Drosophila melanogaster: one gene and its partners. The protein of the gene in region 3 interacts with the protein of the main gene of each other region in a pairwise test. Each region holds a gene or a part of one and is shown on either strand. Other genes may lie near its edges. The genes, in order: Inx7, Met75Cb, CG4835 and Cnot4.

Evidence for each region.
Region 1: the proteins of CG4835 (region 3) and Inx7 interact in a two-hybrid assay, tested with the Drosophila melanogaster proteins (one large-scale study listed by BioGRID).
Region 2: the proteins of CG4835 (region 3) and Met75Cb interact in a two-hybrid assay, tested with the Drosophila melanogaster proteins (one large-scale study listed by BioGRID).
Region 4: the proteins of CG4835 (region 3) and Cnot4 interact in a two-hybrid assay, tested with the Drosophila melanogaster proteins (one large-scale study listed by BioGRID).

What each region holds. Positions count from the first base shown.
Region 1 is NC_004354.4:6,991,081-6,995,379, forward strand, and holds Inx7 (innexin 7), read right to left. Parts: upstream 2,533-4,299; 5' UTR 2,334-2,532; coding exon 2,100-2,333; intron 1,803-2,099; coding exon 1,093-1,802; intron 1,023-1,092; coding exon 650-1,022; 3' UTR 532-649; downstream 1-531. UniProt on the Drosophila melanogaster protein: Structural components of the gap junctions.
Region 2 is NT_037436.4:18,468,863-18,471,429, forward strand, and holds Met75Cb (Met75Cb), read right to left. Parts: upstream 757-2,567; 5' UTR 737-756; coding exon 581-736; 3' UTR 516-580; downstream 1-515.
Region 3 is NT_037436.4:5,477,982-5,484,178, reverse strand, and holds CG4835 (uncharacterized protein), read right to left. Parts: upstream 4,390-6,197; 5' UTR 4,330-4,389; coding exon 4,323-4,329; intron 4,184-4,322; coding exon 516-4,183; downstream 1-515.
Region 4 is NT_033779.5:10,394,902-10,402,753, reverse strand, and holds the start of Cnot4 (CCR4-NOT transcription complex subunit 4), read right to left. Parts: upstream 6,039-7,852; 5' UTR 5,772-6,038; intron 5,576-5,771; exon of another isoform or gene 5,107-5,575; intron 4,754-5,106; exon of another isoform or gene 4,720-4,753; 5' UTR 4,640-4,719; coding exon 4,535-4,639; intron 4,476-4,534; coding exon 4,362-4,475; intron 4,311-4,361; coding exon 4,161-4,310; intron 4,101-4,160; coding exon 4,005-4,100; intron 3,438-4,004; coding exon 3,219-3,437; intron 3,160-3,218; coding exon 3,042-3,159; intron 2,987-3,041; coding exon 2,075-2,986; intron 2,020-2,074; coding exon 1,885-2,019; intron 1,792-1,884; coding exon 1,756-1,791; intron 1,678-1,755; coding exon 1,483-1,677; intron 1,421-1,482; coding exon 1,160-1,420; intron 1,093-1,159; coding exon 1,013-1,092; intron 951-1,012; coding exon 887-950; intron 829-886; coding exon 421-828; intron 348-420; coding exon 192-347; intron 124-191; coding exon 1-123. Other genes in the region: Mdh1 (malate dehydrogenase 1), read left to right, coding at 6,537-6,539, 7,810-7,852.

The DNA of each region.
Region 1 (4,299 bases), on a different chromosome or scaffold from region 3:
CTTGGTTATGACAGAGCGGCATGTGTAAATGTCTTAATGCAGCTGGAAGCGTTGACTTCAGAAGTTGAGTTCCTCCTATCTCTGGATGTTTTCGATGAAAACCACTTAAACTTCCCAAAACCATAGAAAATATATAAAACTTACAGTAGCAATAACTCACCTGGAGAACCGTCCGTAATCGGGGATACCGTCATGCACATCTATTGAAACTTCACAGTCAGATGGGAGGGTACAAACTGTGACCCAGCTCTGAACTGAACACTGCAGCTCAGTAACAAACACTTTCGAAACCACAACGGATCACTCGAACTGGGTCACCCAACCGCAGTCGCCACTCGACACAAACTGTCGGCCACGCCCACACGCCCCTCCGAAAGGTGTCTGGTCGGTTTTGGTTTTGTTGTGCTTTTTACCCACTTTTTTTTTCAAAATACCTCACACAAAATAACTGTTTTTCTGTCGGCCATTTTGAGAGATTTTGCTTTATGTGAGCCCCGAAAAAAACCTGTTGGATAAAGCTGAAAGCCGAGTCTCTTAATAATAAATATATTTATAATGAAATGATCATATATATATATAAAAAAAAAACAGGTGTAAACAAGACAAAGCTCCAATAATTAATTGCCTAGCGTTAATTGAAATGCATAAATTATACAGGTAACTTTGCCATATCCGAAGTCGATGGCCCTTGGGCTCCGCCGGCAGAGGGCGAGCCATTGCGTCGAAGGTGCAAGAGTGGTGAATCAATCGTATCCAGACCACTGAGCTCCGGATAACGGTTCTTAGCGGGCGTGGGCGGTGCCTCTCGATAGGCATTGACATCGTTATCGTGATCGGGATTGGGGAACTCACTAGCCAAATGATAGATAACCTTCTTGAATAGGAACTCCGAAAGGTTGGAGCGCAGGAAGAAAAGGAACATCCAGTTGGAAAAGTTACACTTATCAATTACCGCCAATAATTCGTTTTCGTCCAGTTGGCCAGGCTTGGCCCAATAGAGAGACCAGCGGGTAAATGTGACACTAATTAAAGTGGGTTAGAAGGGTTATCACATTATGAAAACATATTTCACACCTATATCCATCCACTCACTTTCTGTAGAAGCACAGGGTTAAAATTCTCCAAAGCAGTCCCAGAACAGTAACAATCAAAAGGAAGGCGTACCAGAACCACAGAATAATGTAGATCTTCTCGTTCATGATGTTCAGCGCCATCACGCAAAGGGCATCGTGCATTTGAATGGAGCCAGAGTCACCAAATTTGTGGAACTTGCACTTGGTAATCTTCGGGAATACTAGATCCAAAACGCTCAGCTCGTCGGACCACCGATTTTTCAGGGCATGTGGTCCCAGTGTGAGGAATTGACCGCCCAAAAAACGGTTGGTCCATGTGATCTGCAGCAGAAGATTAATCAGATTGAGCACCTCCGCGAAGACCAAGTGGGCACCCCACGATTGATTCAGCCGCATCCGGTCGATCATTGTGCGACGAATGTCCTTGACCCGCTCCTCCGCCTCCGCCATCGAGGGAATGTTCAGCTTGCCGATACGCAGACTATCGTTCTTCAGGTACCTCGTTAGACCCACCATTCGAAGGCCAAAGACCAGGGCCTTGATCCGGCCGCCCTCCCAACTCTTCCACAGGGCATGGGGAATGTAGAAGCAGAGAGCCTGGAAGAACAGGACAAAGGGCACCCACTGGTAGTATGCATGCCGCTTGATCGTGTCCTTTTCGGGATCGAATGCCCCTATACCAGGTGGCTCACTTCCCGGCCTGTAGGCAGTTTGGTTCTGGTCACGTACCTATTTGGGGTGCAAGCTATGTTAATAAATGATCTACTGCCGCCAAGGCACATAAATAAAATCTATTCTATCATTTGATCATTTCAGGAATGGGTATGTGGCAACATATATCAACCAACTAATAGCAATAAAACGACTCTAAATCGATTAACCCTATTTAAGTTTTAACCAATAATCAAATAGAGTATTGATAACAGTTGCTCTCAATAGATACTTCTGTGTACCCCGTACATAGATATTTTTTTTAATTCCCTGGTGACCTCTTATAATTTTCCCTTTGTGACCCCGCTGACTTACCACTGTGAAGGTGGGCGTGAAGAAGCAGAAGGTGTTGATGACCGGAGACACAACACCGTCGGATAGGCACTGGATGTGCTCCCCGATGTACTGGCGCGACGTGATCAGGAGGGTGGCCACTAGGAGTATTACGAAGGTCCATCGATAGTGCAGCTTGAACACTATATTGTCGATGACCACACGCGTGAGATCGAACTTGAGGTACTGCCTCACCGAACTGAAGGTGTTCAGCATTGTAACGCCTTCGTTATCTTCGGTTTTGGGTTAGGTTCTGGCCCCGATCCGATCCGATCCGATCCCACTTCTACTTCGTTCACTTTCTTACGATGATTACGACAACTATGGCTGGGTGGCAATTGGAAACGGGCTGGCTTCTGGGTTCGGATGGATTTGTGCGCTCCGCTTGCCGCGGCTAGCTCCTCGTAACTGCAAGGCTCGAGACTCTGCACTTGGTCTCCGGGTCTCGGAACCTTCGGTCTCCGGTCTCCGGTCCCCGTTCGCCGATCTTCATCACCATTCCACATTCGTCGGAGAGGGCTTTCTGGCGCCTTATCGACCGCTCATTTTTGGCCAGGAGAGTCGCCCGGGCCCGATAAGATAACTTCGTCGGGCAGAAATACACGGAAATGCCGAATCAGCAATGGTATTGTGTTTAGTTCAGAGTTGTCCAAGAAAAGAGTAAGGGAAATATGAGAACCTACTGGAGTGCGCTACACTTAGCAGGACTTACGTAGACTATTGGACTATGAGAAAAAAAAAAGAAATTTTTTTCAGCTTCTGACTCGCAGTATAAGCTGAGAGAGGGGCACAATCTTTGTCACTTAGGTTTCAGTCTAAAATGTTAGCAATTTAATTCTTTCAGTGTAGGGCTCTCTTGATACCCAAGAAAACTCCGAAGTTTTTCGGTCATATTTCAAATTTCGCCCAAACATGAGTACTTCGGCATGTATTCGGCTCGTGGCTTCATAAGAATCCGAAAATGATAAGACGAAAGTCACAGAAAGAGCGAAAGAAATTATGAAAATAATACTCATTTTCTCAGGGTTTACCTCATCGGTAAGTTGGCTAAATCTCGCCCTGGTGGGTGGGTGAGTAACTTCCCACCCATCGAAATTCATCCAAGATCCAAGAGCAAAGAGGCCAAGATAACCAAGCAAACAATCATAGGAAATATGAATCAGTGCGGGAAAATATATATGTACATATATGACTCAAGAGATTCAGGATATCAGCAAATTAGTTACACTTCCAAAAACATAGCAAAAATCCCTTAGTGATGCAAGAAATGATCACTTGGTTTTAAGAATAACCATAGAGACTTGCATTGAAATCATTCAAGTGTGGAATTGCAAATTCCGCCGTAATCTGGAACTCTCCGGGTCTTAAAGCGTGCCGCTATCGCCACCCATATTGATTCAATACTGCCTATTCTGATGGATGGGACAGTAATTGGATAAGCGGACATATATCGGCTTGGCGTTATCGTATTGACCCAGATCAGTGCTAGACAGAGGGCTATGTACATACTTACTGAGACTCTTCTTCTTAAGATGGATTATTGCTCGGCTGTTTGCCTTTTTGGCGATATCGTTGCAAGGTTCCACGCAAGGCAATCAGGTGGATATTCACCCTGCGCACTATTGTATTTCATTCTTTGGCCCCGACAATCTTATCTTCCAGTCAATCCCCAGAAAAGACAACGAGTGACTGGCTTACTTACTTTCTAGAATGTAACGGAATTCCAACAGAGATTCGCACTATCAGCTCATAAGTATCTACATATATCTGTTGCTTATCTAAATAGCTCGCCTAGGCATTGTATTTTGGTGCTTATTACTTAAGCGCTCAAGTGGCCGCTCCAAAACTTTGCCGGATAAGATAGTCAAAAATGGCCCCTTTACATACGTACATATAACATTTATAAGTCGTGCGTAACTAGAGACCAGTTAACTATATTAGTAATTGCAACATTTTTAGCCGGTTGACTGCTCGAATTTACCTCTACTTGGGTTTCCCAGGAAATTGCTATGATTACGGCTACTACTTTTGCTTTTGCTTACGCCTCCCAGTTGACGAAAGTTCATTGATTCATGTTCAAATAACAATCGCATTGCTTTATTGGCATAGCCCAGATTTTGATATAAACTGATAGGCCATGCACGTTCTTTTGTCTTTGGCCATTTTGCAATGAAATTTAAAT
Region 2 (2,567 bases), about 13 Mb from region 3:
GCTCGAGTTCTCAGTTGCGAGCACAGGACCCCCTCTCACAGGCAGGAGCCAGTGGAATCCTGCACATGTTTACATGACGTTGGCCTGACTGCAGTCGCGGCTGCATGCAAAATTAATAAGCCATAACAAGTTGGTTTATGATGCGGCTTCCTGGGACTGGGAAACCGTTCTTCTTAGGGGCGAATTAATTAGCGAAGCAGTGAAAGGAAGGGGCATAAAGTTGTGCATTCAAGAAAGCTCTTCCACGTCCTTGCCAACACATCCTCGGAGTCATGGTGTGGATGAGGTAGCTGCTGAAGGTCGTTCAAATAATGGCCCATTGAGCTTACCAATTCATTCATAATAAGAAATCTAGTTATTTTCTTAACCTAAATCGATGGTTCTGAACAGTAAGAAGTATTGTAAATGATCTTCTTCTTAAGCATCTCCCAAAAGGATAGAATTACCATTAATGTAATGTCCACTCTTTTTATGCTGCACCCTCTTTTCCCATTTAACTTAAACATCGCGTATTTATTTCTGGTACATTTAGTACCTTAACGTTTTATTTCTTTAGGCATAGGACACTTTGGAAAGGTTCCTAGAATGGCAGGCAAGTGTGCCGGGCGTAATTGTAGTAGGCGTGGGGACCACAAGCCTTGTCCTCCGAGGTTTCCTGGCGTGTTGCTATCTGTGCATCCACAGAGCTGAGGGCCAGGCCCAGGAAGACTAGCAAGAAACCATTGAATACGTTCATCTTGTCGAGTAGTGCTGAATGATCGGCTGTGGCAGGTAGTGAGCTATTTATACCCGACTACACGTTGCAATTAATATGGATGCTACGTGATACGGCGTTAAGCTTGCCATTTAAGTTTTTCCGGCATTTAAATCCCATCACTTACGTAAGCTGTTCGCTCTAGTTTAACATTTCTCCGATGACCCTCTCTGTTGCGATGGCTCACTTGGCGTATGCTTGATGGCAAATTGGATGCCATCAATGCTTGCCCGAGTTTGCAGGCGCACATGAATCGTATGTTTGTTCTGGCTTCTTTCGGCACAGTACTTAACTTTGACGCGATTATAAGTCGCATACAGCGACAAACGTCCAGTTCATGTAATCGAGCGAGTTGGATACGCTGAGACAAGGCAGCATGTCTTTACTTCAATATTACGATGAAGTCGGCAAAAACTTACATTGTTGACTAATAAAGTCAAAGGGCCTCTGTGAAAACTTCCGCGAAGATGCACATTGTGTGTTGGTTTCGGGACTCAAGCGTAGTCTCACAGATGTGCTGTTCTCAGCTGTTCTTGCCGTCAACTCTGGCGCTGGCGCAAGAGGTGGAATAGTACCATGAAAGATATGCGTATGCTGCCAGCTTTGTGAGGAGCATGGTGGAAAAAGAATACTAGGCAAGTGCCCATCAGCGGGTCAAGCCACCCCAACAAGCAGAAGCGGATCAAAGAACCCGCCTTTTGGTTGGCAGTAGACATAATCGTCCCAAGGGGCGTAAACGCTTTCCATTGCGATTTTCGCACGCTCGCAAAGGTACAGGATGAGATATCCCGGAGGTTCCCAGCCACACAGTTCTGGCATTGCAGGAACCGCGTTGTGGACGTTCTCAGATTCGAAGAAAGAAGGGAAATCTTAACTGCTGAACACAATAGTGCATACAGAGCAGAGCAAGAAAAAGTAAAGCAGGTATTGTCGGAATACTATTTCCCCAAAATATCCAAGCTGGCCAATGAGATCGTGCAGAACTGCAGGACTTGTGCGAGGGCCAAGTAAGATAGGCACCCAATGAAGCAAGAATTCGGTGAAACGCCAATACTGTCACACAATACTGTCTTGCACAAAGACATTTTTTTTTATGCTGACAACAAGTTATTCCTCACTTGCGTCGAGAAGTTTTCTTAATTTGCCATCGTACAACCTACCGCCTCGAGAACTATTAAAGACCATGTATTGCGACAACGAACCGTCGCTGAAGTCGCACACGATCGTGTCCATGCTTTGCAACAACTTTGGTGTAAGCATTACAAATGCATCACCACTAAACAGTACCTCCAACGGACAGGTGGAGCGTTTTCACATTGCTGGAGCTAGCCAGGTGCATAAGGATAGACAAGGGCATAAGTGATACGGTCGATATAGTAATGTTGGCCACTATCCAATATAATAATAGGTCGATTCACTCGGTCATCAAAAGGAGATCGGCTGACATCGTCCTAACGCAACCTGATGAGCCACACGTAGATTTCCACAATAGGATCCAGAAAGCTGAAAGGGATAGAGAAAACGCCTCGCCGCAGAATAGGGTATTCGATGTTAGCGAAAAGGTGTAGGTAAAATCCAACCGAAGACTCGGCAACAAGCTCATGTGCGAGGAAAGAGCTGTAGAAGCGGACATGGGGACCACGATCCTTATTGAGGAGAGGGTAGTCAAGGACAACAAGGACAACATACAACTCACTTACTTGTTTAATCACTTGTACTTTCCACATCGAAGGAAATTCAACACACTCTTTTCACCGACTGTGTCCTCAAGCTGTAACTCAATCTGCTTTAGCAAATTAGCAACAATTTTAAT
Region 3 (6,197 bases):
TTCAGCTTTGGGCCAAGAACGGCAGTATCAGGCTACGATAAATGGCTGAAACTTGTAACTGAGCAGGATATCAGACGTGGCATTGTCAAGGGGAAACTGCTTTTAGCCTGTTGCTAAAAATACTGTCGCGCGTTTGCGTCCCCTTGAGGGTCTTCGTTTGCAATCCTTTCGACAGGAGGTTCTGCAATTCCAATCGGCTTGTTACCTGTCCGGGGAATTGACTGTGTTAAGTGGTAAATTACTTTTTTTTTCTTGGTTCCGTTTTTTTGCGACATATTACGGGAAAAGGGTTTGCATGTAATTGATACTAAAACTGGAGCAAAGTATATGTCTAAAAAGTGAAACACTTAAAAAAGGACTTAGAAAGCCCTAGAAGTGTAATGTGTGAGGAATATGTTAAGCGATTCCCAGCTATTGAGCATTTGTGCATTTACCCAATTGATTTTTTGGGGTAGCAAAAAGAACAGAAATGGAAAAGATTATTGCTGTGATTTATGCTTTATTAATATATTTTTTTAAAATTCAATAAAAAGACACCTTTCATTGGGAACAGAGGTGCATTGAAGAAGATTATCATCGAAAATCGTTCCCTCATCGCAATCCACGGCATATGGAATGGGATAGTCACAGACGACATAGCGACCGCAATCATTGGGATACGGAAGCAGAGTTCCAAGAGCTTGGCCACAGCATATATTGGGGGTGTACGGATCTAGAGTTGTTGGTGTAGAAACTGTGGTTGTCGATTCAGTTGTTGTTGTTACTGTTGTCGATTCGGTGGTTGTTGTCTTTGGAGTTGTTGAAACGGTTGTTGGCTCGGTTGTCGTTGGGGTTGTTGAAATTGTCGTTGACTCGGTTGTCGTTGGGGTTGTTGAAACTGTCGTTGACTCTGTAGTAGTAGTCTTTGGAGTTGTTGAAATTGTCGTTGATTCCGTGGTAGTTGTTTGGGGAGTGGTTGTAGCTGTAGTTGATTCTGTGGTTGTTGTTGGGATTGTGGTTGACTCGGTAGTAGTGGTCTTTGGAGTTGTTGGCTCGGTTGTCGTTGGAGTTGTTGAAATTATCGTTGATTCTGTGGTAGTTGTTTTGGAAGTTGTCGATTCTGTTGTAGTTGTTTGGGGAGTGGTTGAATCTGTGGTTGTTGTTGAGATTGTGGTTGACTCGGTAGTAGTAGTCTTTGGAGTAGTTGACATTTCTGTAGTGGTAGCCTCGGGTGTTGTTGAAACTGTTGTTACCGGTGTAGACGAAGCTTCTGTACTTAAAGTTGTAAGCCCTGGTGTGGTTAACTTAGTGCTACAACCAGCTAGTTCGGGATCCATGCAGGTCAATTCCGTGGGACTAAACTCCAAACCATCCGGACAATCGTAACCAACTGGTATTGGATATTGGCACTTTATATACTTGCTACAGTTTCTCGGGTAGGGTACCAAGGAGTCGTCTGTCTTGCCTTCACAAATTCCATCTGCCGGCTTTTCAGTTGTAGAAGCTTCCGGGTTAGTTGTTCCTGGTTCCATTGTAGTAGATGATGGTGGTGTTGAAATTGTTGAAGGTGATTCAGAAGTATCAGTAGATAATACTGTAGATGATTCTGTAGTTTCTGTTGATTGTCCTGTAGATGATTCTGTTGTTGATTCCGTTGTTGATTCTGTTGTTGATTCTGTTGTTGATTCTGTAGATGGTTCTGTTGTTGATTCTGTAGACGATTCTGTAGAAGATCCCGTTGATGGTTCGGAAGGCGTTGTTGAGCCTTCCCCGTCTCTTGGTGTAGTCGTCGACTCCGATGGCTTAGCAGTGGTTGTAATCGAACAATTGGCGAGTGAAGCATCAACACATTTTCCAAGCTCCACACTAAATTCATCTCCTTTTTCGCATTCAAAGGCAACCGCAATGGGTCTATCGCACTGAATATACTTCGAACAATCGTTGGGATAAGCGACAAGGGCCCCATCCTCGACGTCGTCACAAGGTCCTTTCTGCGGTGGTGGTCTCGTAACCGCTGTGGTCGTTGTCGGCTCACTGGTAGTTGATGTGGTTGAAGTGTAGTCCCATCGACAGGCATCTGAAGGAACATCCGCTCCACACTTTTCAGTAATTGGATCGTAGTACTCCCCACAATTACAGACGTCCATCATGTAAATGTAATCATCCACACAGCGTATGAACCATTGACAATTGTCCGGATATGGGAATGTATCCCGACTGCTATTTGTACACATGGTCGGTTCCGGAGGAGGTCTTGTATAGCCTGGTTCTAGAGTCGTTGTGCTTTGATCACCCTCACAATCACTTTCATCCCAATCATCAATGCACTTCTCTAACTTGGAACTGAAGAATGTACCATCGGGACAGAAGAACGCTATGGGAATTGGTGAAACGCACACAATGTACTTGGTGCAGTTGTTGGGATAAGCAATATTCTCGTTCTCATTTCGACCACCGCAAATACCAGTTTTTGGGGCCACAGTTGTGGTTGTCCTTTCGGTGGTTGTAGCTGTGGACTTGGGTGTGGTATTTCTTTCGGTTGTTGTGGTCTCTGTCGTTGTTGTTGTTGTGGTGGTTGTGACTTGTGATGGTTTGCACGCATCGGGTGCCACATCAGGTCCACACTGACCTGTGCTGGGATCAAAATAACTGCCGTAAATGCAGGGTGCCAGAGTCCATTGTCCGCCGCCCAAGCAAAGATAATACTTGCTGCAATCATCCGGATAAGAAAACGAAGCTCCCAACTCCTGACCATCGCAAAGCTGATCTGGTCCCAAAGTTGTTGCCACTGTGGTGGTAGTCGTGGTAGGAGTGGTTTTTTCAGTAGTAGTAGTTGGTATGGTGGTTGGAATTGGTGTCGTGGTGCGATCTCCAAGGCACACAACATCATCTGGCTCATCGCATACAAGCAAGTCGGGATTGAAGAGCGTATTAGGAGGACAATGACCCATTTGCACTTGATTGTCTTTACATATTAAGTACTCCGAACAATTGCCTATGTAGGCAAAAATAGTGCCGTCCTTTTCATCTTTACAATCATTTGGATCGACATCAGAGGGAAGTCCATCTGTAGTGGTTACAATCTCTTCTGTGGTGCTAGAATGTATTTCCGTTGTAGACCCATCAGAAGGCAGTGTTGTAGGCGTTGAAGGAGTTGTAGTGATTGAAGGCGTCGTCGTGACTGAAGGCGTCGTTGGTTTGTTGGTTGTTCCCGGAGTTGTGGGGAATGGCAGGGGGTCACACCGCACCGAATCGGGTGTATCGCAGATGTGCAGCCAATTATTAAAGAGTTTATCCGGCTGGCAGTAATCCAAATCTGTGCAACCATTTTTGCAGGCCAAGTACCCACTGCAATTGTAAGGATACTCATAGAAACCATTTCCCTTCGGCACACAATAATCCTCTTCAATTCCCTCCGGCGTTGGACCGCAAACCACATCCTCCTCAGTTGTTGAAGTGGGCGGCATTTCTGTTGTGGTTGTAGGAAGGGGCAGCTCCTCGCAATCTGCCATATCGGGAGTATCGCAAATGCCAAGGTACTTATTGAATACCTTGTCTTCAATACAGTAATTTAGCACGGGCCAGCCGTAAGTGCAGTTTATATAGGCCTGGCAGTCATATGGATAATAATGTACCGAGCCATCCTCCTTGTTGCGACAGTAGTCATCTGAAATTCCCGGTGGTGCCGGTGGTGGATCCCAACTGGATGTTGGGAGGTAACTTGAGGGGGTAGAGGACGTTATCTCTGTACTGGTTCCGGTGGTACTTTCTGTCGTTATCTTTGCCGTACTTGATGGTGGTTCTGTGGGTTCTGGCGTTATCTTTTGAGTACTGGATGTTGGTTCTGGCGTAAATCGAGTAGTTCCATCCGTAGGTTCTGGCGTTTCAATCGAGTAGTAGATACATTCTACAGCTTGGGGATAATTACATTGCTGGGTCTTATTATCCCACCAGAGATTTGCGGGACACAACTTCACCGTGGGATAGAGACAGTCGCAAACTAGGAACAAACTACAGTTATCCGGATACGGTACCAAAGCACCAAAGTCCTTGCCCTCGCACATCACCTGGTTTTCGTATCGCTGTTCATTGTTGCAAGTTTCGTGACGAGGTTCGATCTTTGGCAGGGCCAAAACATTTAGCTGCCAGCTCCAGAATACGGCGATAACCACCAGAAGCCATGGCAAAGGCTTGAAAATATTATCTGGAAAAGGAAAGAATACAATAATAATACAAAAAAAAAAACATACAGAGACTATTACTAGTATTTAAGTTTAAATATTTATGTATAATTGACATAATAATTTATTGCATTGTACTTGCATAGAATATCTTAGATTTACCTTGCATAACAACTCCCCTTTCTAAATTGTACTATATATTTTTAATAGGTCTTTTCGCCTGCGAGTTTAACTCCACACTGACTTGTTAACTAGGCCAACTGTCTTGTCTATAGCAAAAGCTATTTCCTGATACAACGTCGGTAGCTTATATTAATGACATTTTGATTAGATTTAATTAGAAATTCTTTGAAATTTATAGAATATCGTTTTCATTCTAGTGATTGTGATTTGTGATTTTATGTTATCGTTAACTTCTGAATTATTTTTCTTAAGTGCCATTTCAACACGAGCAACACAAGATAGTTTCCGTAATATTCTAATCTAGTGATAAGCCAATTACGTATTGAAGTCTTATCGTGGCGTCATAGATTGTTTTGTTTATAAAGGTTAATTTTAAGCAAAATATAAGGCAGGAAGCTTCTCTGGGGTTTTCTTTAAGTATTTCCCCTACTGGTGTTTTTTTACACACGTATTGCTTGTGAAATGAGTGTCATTTTATATTCTTTCATTTCGAAGGTAAATCATTTTATCCTGTTCGCATGTGTTTTGTGTGCGCCTTTTGTGACTCTTATTGCTGCTGTTATTACACTTATTGTTCTTGTTCCAGTTCACGGTGTTGTTGGGTCTTTAATGAGCCCACGTGACCTTTCCGACAGCGAAGTTCGAGTCACAATTTATGATCAGCACTCGACGCGTAAATTACACGAATAAAAATGCGAACATAAACATAAATGAAGCTAGAAGTTTAATGCCCGGCAAGCCATTAAAATTAAGCGACAAAACATGAGTGGCACACAAAATACGGCATTAAGTAGAATTAGTTGAAAATGTATAAACAGATTGAAGAAATTTGTATCTCTAGTTTAAAGTGGATTTGCAAGCTGCAGTTGCATAGAAAGCTAGCCATGGTATTTCAATTTGTGCTGCAAATTACTTAAAAGCATACAAATCTATTTGTCTGAAGGATGTTTTTATGCTGTCTGGCTGACCTTTTTTCCATCCCTTCTTCAGTCGCCTTTGGGTTGACAAACAGTCACGAAGTTGGAAAATATAAAGTGCAGCCTGAAAGGACAAATCCATTAATATAAAAATAAAGTTGCATAAAAGAAAGTGCGGATTATTTAAGTACAGATTTTTTGAGATTAAAATAATAAATGGTTTTGGGTAAATTAAAGTCAGGAGTATGAATGAAACAATACTTATAGGTACTCATGATTACTCTTTTATAAAAAGATATATGAAATTTATTCTATACTTAGCATATTTTTCTTTGGAATTAGCTCAACAAATCAAATATAATCAAATGTTCCCACCTCTTTGGCCAAACTTGCTGCTGGACAATTTTTCAGCTTGATCTGTTGGCTGCTGTCAAGCGTTTGATCTGCAACAGATTGAACTATCAATTATGCCCCTGCATGCGACGTGACCAGCAACTGACATGTGCCACATGCCACACCCCATCCAAAATCTGGGAAACAAGAAGCAGGACCATCAGATGGCAATGTTAAAACGGACGTTTAGTTACAGCTGAGCACCTGCTCGCCTTTCTGTCCGCCTGGCTGCTCCTCAAAGGAATGGCGGCGGAGAAGCGGGTGAAAGCGAGGGAAAACGTGTCCTCCACGCAGCAAAGCTGCTCCTTGCCCCGTTCCACAACTCCTCCCCTTGTTTGTGTTGCATGAAATTGACCCGGTGCGTGTGTCGCCAGCGACTGGAAAGGATTCTCGGCGATCTGATGGGGGGTTTGTATATGGCGCAATGCATCCTGGGGCCTAGATTCATCACCGAGTCTGGCGGCATTCGTGTGTTTTTCCAGCTTCCAGAGATTTCACGTAAGCCCCTGTGAAACTCCTAAAAAACGTCCAAAACGTTTTTTAA
Region 4 (7,852 bases), on a different chromosome or scaffold from region 3:
TTTTTAAAAACTCAAGCATGCCCTGAACATTGGCATTGACCTGTGGCGGCTGCGTTTGTTGTCCGTTCAGCAAACTATTGGGCATCCCCATAGGAAGCATTTGCTGTGCCTGGTTGTTGAAACCTGCAAGTACACAATCCGATGCATTTTAATCGACTGTTGATATGTAAACTCTTGGTTGCCCCACTTACCACCACTCTGGGAATTTTGCTGTTGAGCCAAATGCTGCAAAAATAAATCCTGTTGCTGCTGAGGATGTGGGGGAATTTGGTTTTGTGGAAAAGAAGAATACTGTCTAAACGAAAGTATAGCCGGATCCATTGAAGTCCAATCACTGTTGTTGTAAACTGTTGCGAATCCAAATAATTTGATTAAACAGTTTTCTCGGTACCAAAAAATGTAATCATTTCAATTACTTACCCTTGTTGTGAGCCATTGGATGCTGCAATTGCGAATCACCCACGGGCTGTCCCGGGTTCTGGTGCATGCCCATCGGCGCATTCCAGTTGACACCCATTGGCATTTGGTGCTGTCCCTGGGCACCGCTGTTGCCCACCCCATTGACGGGCATGTTCATGAAGGGTATTATTTTGCTGGTGAGCTGCAGTCTGGATGCACCGCCCAAGCCCAATGTGTTGACGTGATTGAAGCCTGGCGGCGGCATGCGAGCTCGCTGCAGGTTGTCCACCAATTGCGGATGGGGTGGAACTTGAGGCTGTGGCGGCAACTTCGGCAAGGGGTTCTCATTATTAATACTCTGTTTTTGGACCACCTCATTTTCCATAAGTTCAGCAAGTCCCTTTTGGGTCTCAACGAACGGGTCGAATCCTTTTAACAAGCAGAATCAGTGAAAAGGCTTTGAAGTGAGATATAAACAAGGTCTTACCTAAGTCATCGTCGACTATCGAGTTCTGTGTAAACCGATTCTGCTGAGATTGCGTGTTTGGAGGCTGGAAATCGAAACAAATATGATATTAGCATGTTGCTTTTTAAATCCATTTGAAATCATTACCATAAATTCATACATTCCCATCATTCTCTGCTTTTGTTGCTGTTGCTGCTGCTGCTGCTGCTGCTGCGAGTTAATAAGTCCTAGGATAACAACGTAAATATTATTATTGCGGGCTGGCCAGCAATTTCATTGTAAAGTATGTCCCACCATTTTCGACAAAAGGCGAATTCAGTCGATTGCTTTCCAAAGAGGCCGCCACTCTTTGCGGCTCCGGCACAGCACCGTTCCCATTGATTTGAGGCGGATGTCCATTTAGATACTGATGGTGTGACTGCGGCTGACTTTTATGGAAATCGAAGAACTTCGACATGTTGCCGCCAAATAGATTTTCGCCTGCGTGCTGTTGTAATAATTGTTGCTGAATGATTGCATTGGCTTGAGCTCTGAGCTCATAAGCTCTAAGGAAATCTAAAAGGAATTAATTACACAATTATTAAAGTTGCAGTACACCACAGTAGGAATTCACCTACCATTCGCAGGACCGTTGATTTGCGTCGCAAAGTTGTTGCGTTTCTGTAATTCTTGCATGCGAAGGAACTCCTCCTGTTGCAACACCAGCTGGTGGCGCAAATTCTGATGCTGCTGCAAATGTTGCTGCTGCAACAGTTGCTCCTCCATGTGCTGCGTGTTGCCCATCATCACATTTTTGAAGGCTTCCTCCCACTCTGTTTATGCAAAGGATGGATAAATTAAGAATAAATATGAGTTAATTCAAATACATGCTTTAATAATGAAACCATTACCGTTTGTATTGGATGCCTTTTGGATTCCATCAATGTCTGTTTAAGCCCGTTGATATTTTTTAGCAGTACCGAAAAATGAGAAAAAATAAATTAAAGAATTCTCTTTATTTTCAAAGATTCGTAACTTACCGTTGACCAAGTCAGGTAAATGAGACTGTCGCATTTCCAAATCTAGCTTATTCTTTAATATGGGTGCTTGCTGGAATGATGGCGATGTGAAAAAGCTAGGCGTGTCATCGAAAATGTTCAGCTTAGATAGCGCATCTGCAACGGAAAGTGTTAGCAAAGTGTGGTGGACTAAATGGATAAGGTACAATACCTGTTACTCTGCTTCCATTATCCGCCAGACTCGGTGGTTCGACTGGATCAACAACGGGTAAGCATCCTTCGACTTCTCCATTGCCTGGCGCAACTGCAGCGGGACTGATGTCCTCAGAGGACTCAGCTGTTGGCAGAATCGTTTCGGCCTCGACAATTGCCTCGTTGCTCTTTTCGAGCTCCTCCTGAAACTTTACACTTTCTTGCTGGCTTTCCGAATTCACACTATTGCACTTTTCCTCCACATAATCACCAGTTAAACTCTTCTCACTTAAGCTACTCTCAGAGACGTGTCCTTCGCTATTTTCGCTACAAGAGCTCACAGATCTTTGAACGTTTGTTCCCGCTAATCTCTTTTGTGGTAAGTTATCTTCACAGCTTTCTGTTACTTCCGCCTTCTTTTGTCTTATTGTACTCTCGCTTGTTTCAACCCGCTCCGCCGGTTTACTTGCTGCAGGTGCTGGAGCAGCTTCCTTGCTCTTCTTCTGCTCCTTTGCACTAGCCGTGGTCCGATCTTTTCCACGATCCGCCCTCGTTCTATTGCTAGAGGCTTGCGGCGGTTCTGCCTTGGTGGAAGCCGGTGCATCCGCCGTAGCCTCTGCGAATGTCTCAGTACTTGTGCTGCTTCTCGTTTCGGGAACATAGTTCTCCTTGTTCGAGGCATTGGCGTTTGTATTGCTGCCGTTCTTATTCTTCGCCTTGTTCTTCTCGTGCCTCTTCTCGTTGCGCAGCTTTTCCCGTTTACTTTTCCCACTGGAACTGGTCGCAGTGGCAGCCGCCTCTTTGCCATTGATGGGCGAGACCGATAAGCTTGGCCAGGCCTCCTTTTGCTGGGCATTACCTGATGCACTTGAACCATTTGTACCCGATCCAGAGGACGAGGATGACGCTGACGATGACGATGGAATCGCGACTGATTGGGTATAAACATTATTAAGTCATTTAGTATGTAGCTTGGCTGAAATTACCATTTGCTTTAGAAGCTCCATTACCATTTACAATACCTGTTGCATTCGGTCCCAATGACGCAATTAGAGTATCGTGCAGGCGCTTCTCGTACTCCAGGTGCTTTCCCTGATGCATTTCCTTTAAATATCCGGACATAACATTTAAATACGGACAAATTTAGTTATCTCACAACTTACCTCCTTTGTGAAACTGGCCTCGGGATCGCCCAATTCATGTAAGTACATGCAGTCGCCCTTGGGACACTGCTGGTTCTTCATGAAGTGGCTACAGTATTTGGTTGTCCCCAAGCTGGTCTTTATAAGCCGACCGTCTATCATAATATTATTGACGCTTTGAATGGCCCGCAAGGCATCCGAGTTATTAACATATGTGACATACGCAGAAGCAGATGGACCCTTTAAAATCGAAAAAATTTAAATAAGCAATGATGGCAGAGTGTGAAACGCGATTCGGTGGACCGAAAACTCTGATACCCTCGCAGTTTTATAGAAAGCAGGTTTATCAAATGTTACGCTTTTTGATTTGTATACAATAATCGGGGTTATTCTAAAATAGACTCTTATCATAATTGGTCAAAAGTTGATTTTTTTAGCATAAGCACGGAAACAGAACGTAAATTCCGATCCATTTAATCATAAATTAACAAGAAATTTTTGCATTTCGCACACAATTTTGCCTAAAATAAAAAAATACATATATATATTAATAAAAAAGGTTAAAAAATAAACTTAAACTTCTTGTTATAAACAATGTTCGCTTACCAGAGCAGCTAACAACAAAAGGTTCAAATTCATTTTAATCGAAAATAAATTTTGGTAGATACACGTAAATCTGTTCAGTTTCATTGAAAACGTGCCATTATCAAAGTTTTCATAGAAACCACCTAAAAATGACTAAGCAACTCGGGTATTGGCCCATTGGGCCATATGAATGTATAGAGGTAATAAATAATTGAATCTTACAACTCTTACCTGGACCCCGGCATACGTGGTACTTGGATTTATAACGACTTTATGAATTTTCCCATATTTACCGAAATACTCGTGTTTCTTTAATATCTGAAATGGCAATTGTGAGTGGGTTTGCTGTCGGTTATCTATGGCGCAAAATCAACATACGTCTGCATCAGCAAGTCGTGGCGGTAGCCCCACAACGAACACCAAGTTCTTTTGGACAACGCGAACGTTGGCCAAGTGTTTGCGGTTCTCGGTGATCTTTTGTTTTCGTTGTTGGTCCCTTTGGCGTTTCTGGGACTTGAAGGCAATCATCTAAAGAAGAGTAGAAGTTAGTGGAATGAATACGAGGTGACCACGACATACTTCCTCCTGCGACAGCGGCTTGAAGTCAGCTGGATTCTCGGGATACTCCTTTCGGCATGCCGGACACAGCTTGTTCTCATCCGTGCGGATCCTATGCCAACAGAATCGGCAAATCTGGAAGCAATAGCACTTGAATACGCTGCTGATAAGGGTGCTTTAATGACAGTATGTACCTGATATCCGCAGGTACACGGAAAGAAGGTCAGATCGTCCACCTCAAGCGGCTCCATACACAAAGGGCACTCGACTGCATCATCATTGCTGCTCAGGCCGTTCATTTTCAGGTGATTTGTTGATTAGTGATGAAGTACTCGCAGTTGTAATTTTTATAAAATTGTTGATAATGATGAGAACCAAGCTGTAGAAAGTAAATAAAATTTATATGTATAAATAATATATATATATATATATATTTGATTAGGATGAAGTTTTGTGTGTAGATTCTTAAATCTCAAGGATAGCTTTTGTAGGATGGATTTTCATCAGATTGGTATGAACCTGCATTGAAATAAGAAGAATATTCCCTTGTCTTGTACTTCTAAACTATGCATATATGATTTTGTCTACCTAAAACACCTAAAAAAAAGGAAGGCATGCGATCTTTATTAGATGAATCACCCCGTTATTTTGCACACTACGAAAAACAAGTTGTGGACATTTGGCACCTGTAGCTGACCACTTTAGTTAATATCCATATTTAACACTTTTTTTGATAGTTGCGATTTGTGCAAAATTGTTTACATACTGCCCATTGTATTCGTGGTATTGTTGACTTTATGCAACCTTTGAAAAAAGACAATTTAATGCGACCCGAAGAAGGTGTTTGCCGTCAGGTAATTTTATTGTGTATATACACACACACGCATATGCCTACAACGCAGACAAACAAACACAAAAAGTATTTTTAAATATGGATACCTTTTCATAACAAAAATCAAACCAGCTCGGAAATATACGCACTACCTGCGTACATCAATAAGTTCTCAAATTTAAAACGGAAGCTCTCTTTAAAACACAATCAAAAAGAAAGTACAATTTTCAAGAGTTTAATAACCGAACATGTGTGTGAGTATGGCGACATGCAAATACGTGTGGGTATTAAGCAAAATTACTAGAATTTGCATCGATATTTGCGTATGCATTGTAAAAGCACTTAATATGTGTACATCAGCAATTTGTTAATCCACTATATACGCACACATATGCGAGTGTTTATGTACATAAGCGTACATTGTTCACGCTGCACTTATTTACCAAACCACAGCTGTGATTTATTGTTTATTAATTATGGCAAATCACGAACTCGTATAAAAGGGTAACGAAAATCGATTTTTAGACAATAACAAAAGGCTGGTTGGAAAGGAAAACGGCAAATGTTTAATGTACATAAGCAAGAGTATATATACATACACATATGTATGTACACGTAACACGTATGATTGTAGGTGTGATGTAGGTTTTCTTTATTCACTCTGAATAGCTGATGAAACGACGTTGCAATGGTTAATTGTGTTTTTGAACGCTTTTTAATTTTTATAAATACTTGGTAGCAAACGTATCAAACGAAAGTACTAAGGCTAAAAATAAACGCAAAGTAAACGAATGGATTCGCCAAATTAAAGACTCCAATTTTTTCCACAAGAAACATTCGATTTTTTTCCACAGCTCAAACTATCGATAATAGCAAGCGAAAAAATCACTTCACACGACTGCATTTGCGTATTTCAGATATGAAAATATAGCTAGGTACTAATTTTGTATGTGTAAACAAAGTGACCAAGAATAATGCAAAGAAATATGATATTTGATGCTTTTTCTGCAAAATTTTGTTGTTTACATTAACTAATTTAATAACTATATTTCTATTAATTTTTCATTTATCATCGTTTTATTTATTTATATATGTATTTACTTTTTTTTGGCAACTGTAAATATTAATAACAATAAGAGAACTCCTTAACTCTTTGTATTATTTAAAAATTTAGTAAATTTGTAAGGAGCAACATAATCGATTATTTTGCCAAAAACATATTGCGTTGGAGTCACGGCTACTTTTATTCAAAAAGTAGTGACTGGAAAATAATTGTGAAAAGTAACAGGTTCCCAATTGGCGATCCCTATTTACGTTTTTACTTGAAGTTCGTCCGTGGAGCGTTGCACCTGTGAAATTCTAAAATGGTAAGCTTGCCGGCGATTTCTCGCTACGCTCGTATAGTATATATCATCAAATTATTATTAATAATCTGCATATTTGATTATCAAATGTGAAGAATATGCATACATATGCATTCAAAGTGCCGTACACAATAATGTGTAGTTATGACGGTATGTGTGATTGGTCGCAATAATTTTTCTGGAAATTTAACATTCATTTGACCTCTCTTCATGCTAATCTTAAAAACCAAAAACCTTAGTGACGTCAATTCGAACGTATGCACAAATGTTGCATTTTCAGAGGCCCCCAAAAGCATGAATTTATTGCAAATGCGAGCTAATTGCCAATTGACGGCGATAAAAATGTTGTTTTCATGTTTTAATAGCTCTTGCCGGAGCAGATAGAGCTTATATAAACCGGATGATTGGAGGCGGTGAAGCAAAGTCCATGCAGTTCAAATCTGTCATATCTTATCAAAAATGCTAAATGCTCCCAGGGGTTACGCTTCCAATTGTTTGGAAGTTAAAAACTTCTTCAATGACAAATATATAATATAAAAATATAATATATGTTATGTTTAGTAATTCCCGTCTTTAGCTACATTTTACTGGAAACTATGCCCTGTGACTTTTCTTTAGGGCAAAACATAAATAGGGGTCAATTGCCACAAGTGGCCTACTTTTAGTGCCCTTAGGAAAGGATTAACTGGGATTGCGTAACGAGGATGGGCGGAAAATGCACTAGCAAGCAAAAATCAAAGCACATCACTTATAAAATGTTTTATTAAATCTATAACTATTGAAAATGCCAGCTCAGAGATAAATGGAGAGGAAATTTAAGAGTTCTAGCTAAAGTATAAAGTATAAAGTAAATTCGTTATCTATCGTAAACAACAAATGCAAGCTGATAAAGACACACTTCAAAACAGTAACAAAAAACCTGGTCACGCATTTGTTTATTTTCAGCTATCATATTTGCATTAATTTTGCTGAAATTGCACTTAAATGGGTTTTAATTCGGAAATGGCGAGCTGGATATATACGAAGTATTTTGTGTAGTTAGCAGTTTTCGCATATATTTCCTCGCCGCTAAGCGTCTAAAAATAAAATATAGATCCAAAGCCAAAGGCTGGATGAAAAATTCGCCCCTTATTACAGTATAATTAGTTTAGCTGCATCTAAACATAGCTAAGAACATTCTTGAAATAAAATACGGAAAATGCATAAAGAAATGGAAAAAGGAAGATGAAATACACTTAAAGGAATGTTCCTAATCGAGTGAATATATTTTCAGGCTGAACCAATTCGTGTTGTGGTGACCGGAGCCGCTGGCCAAA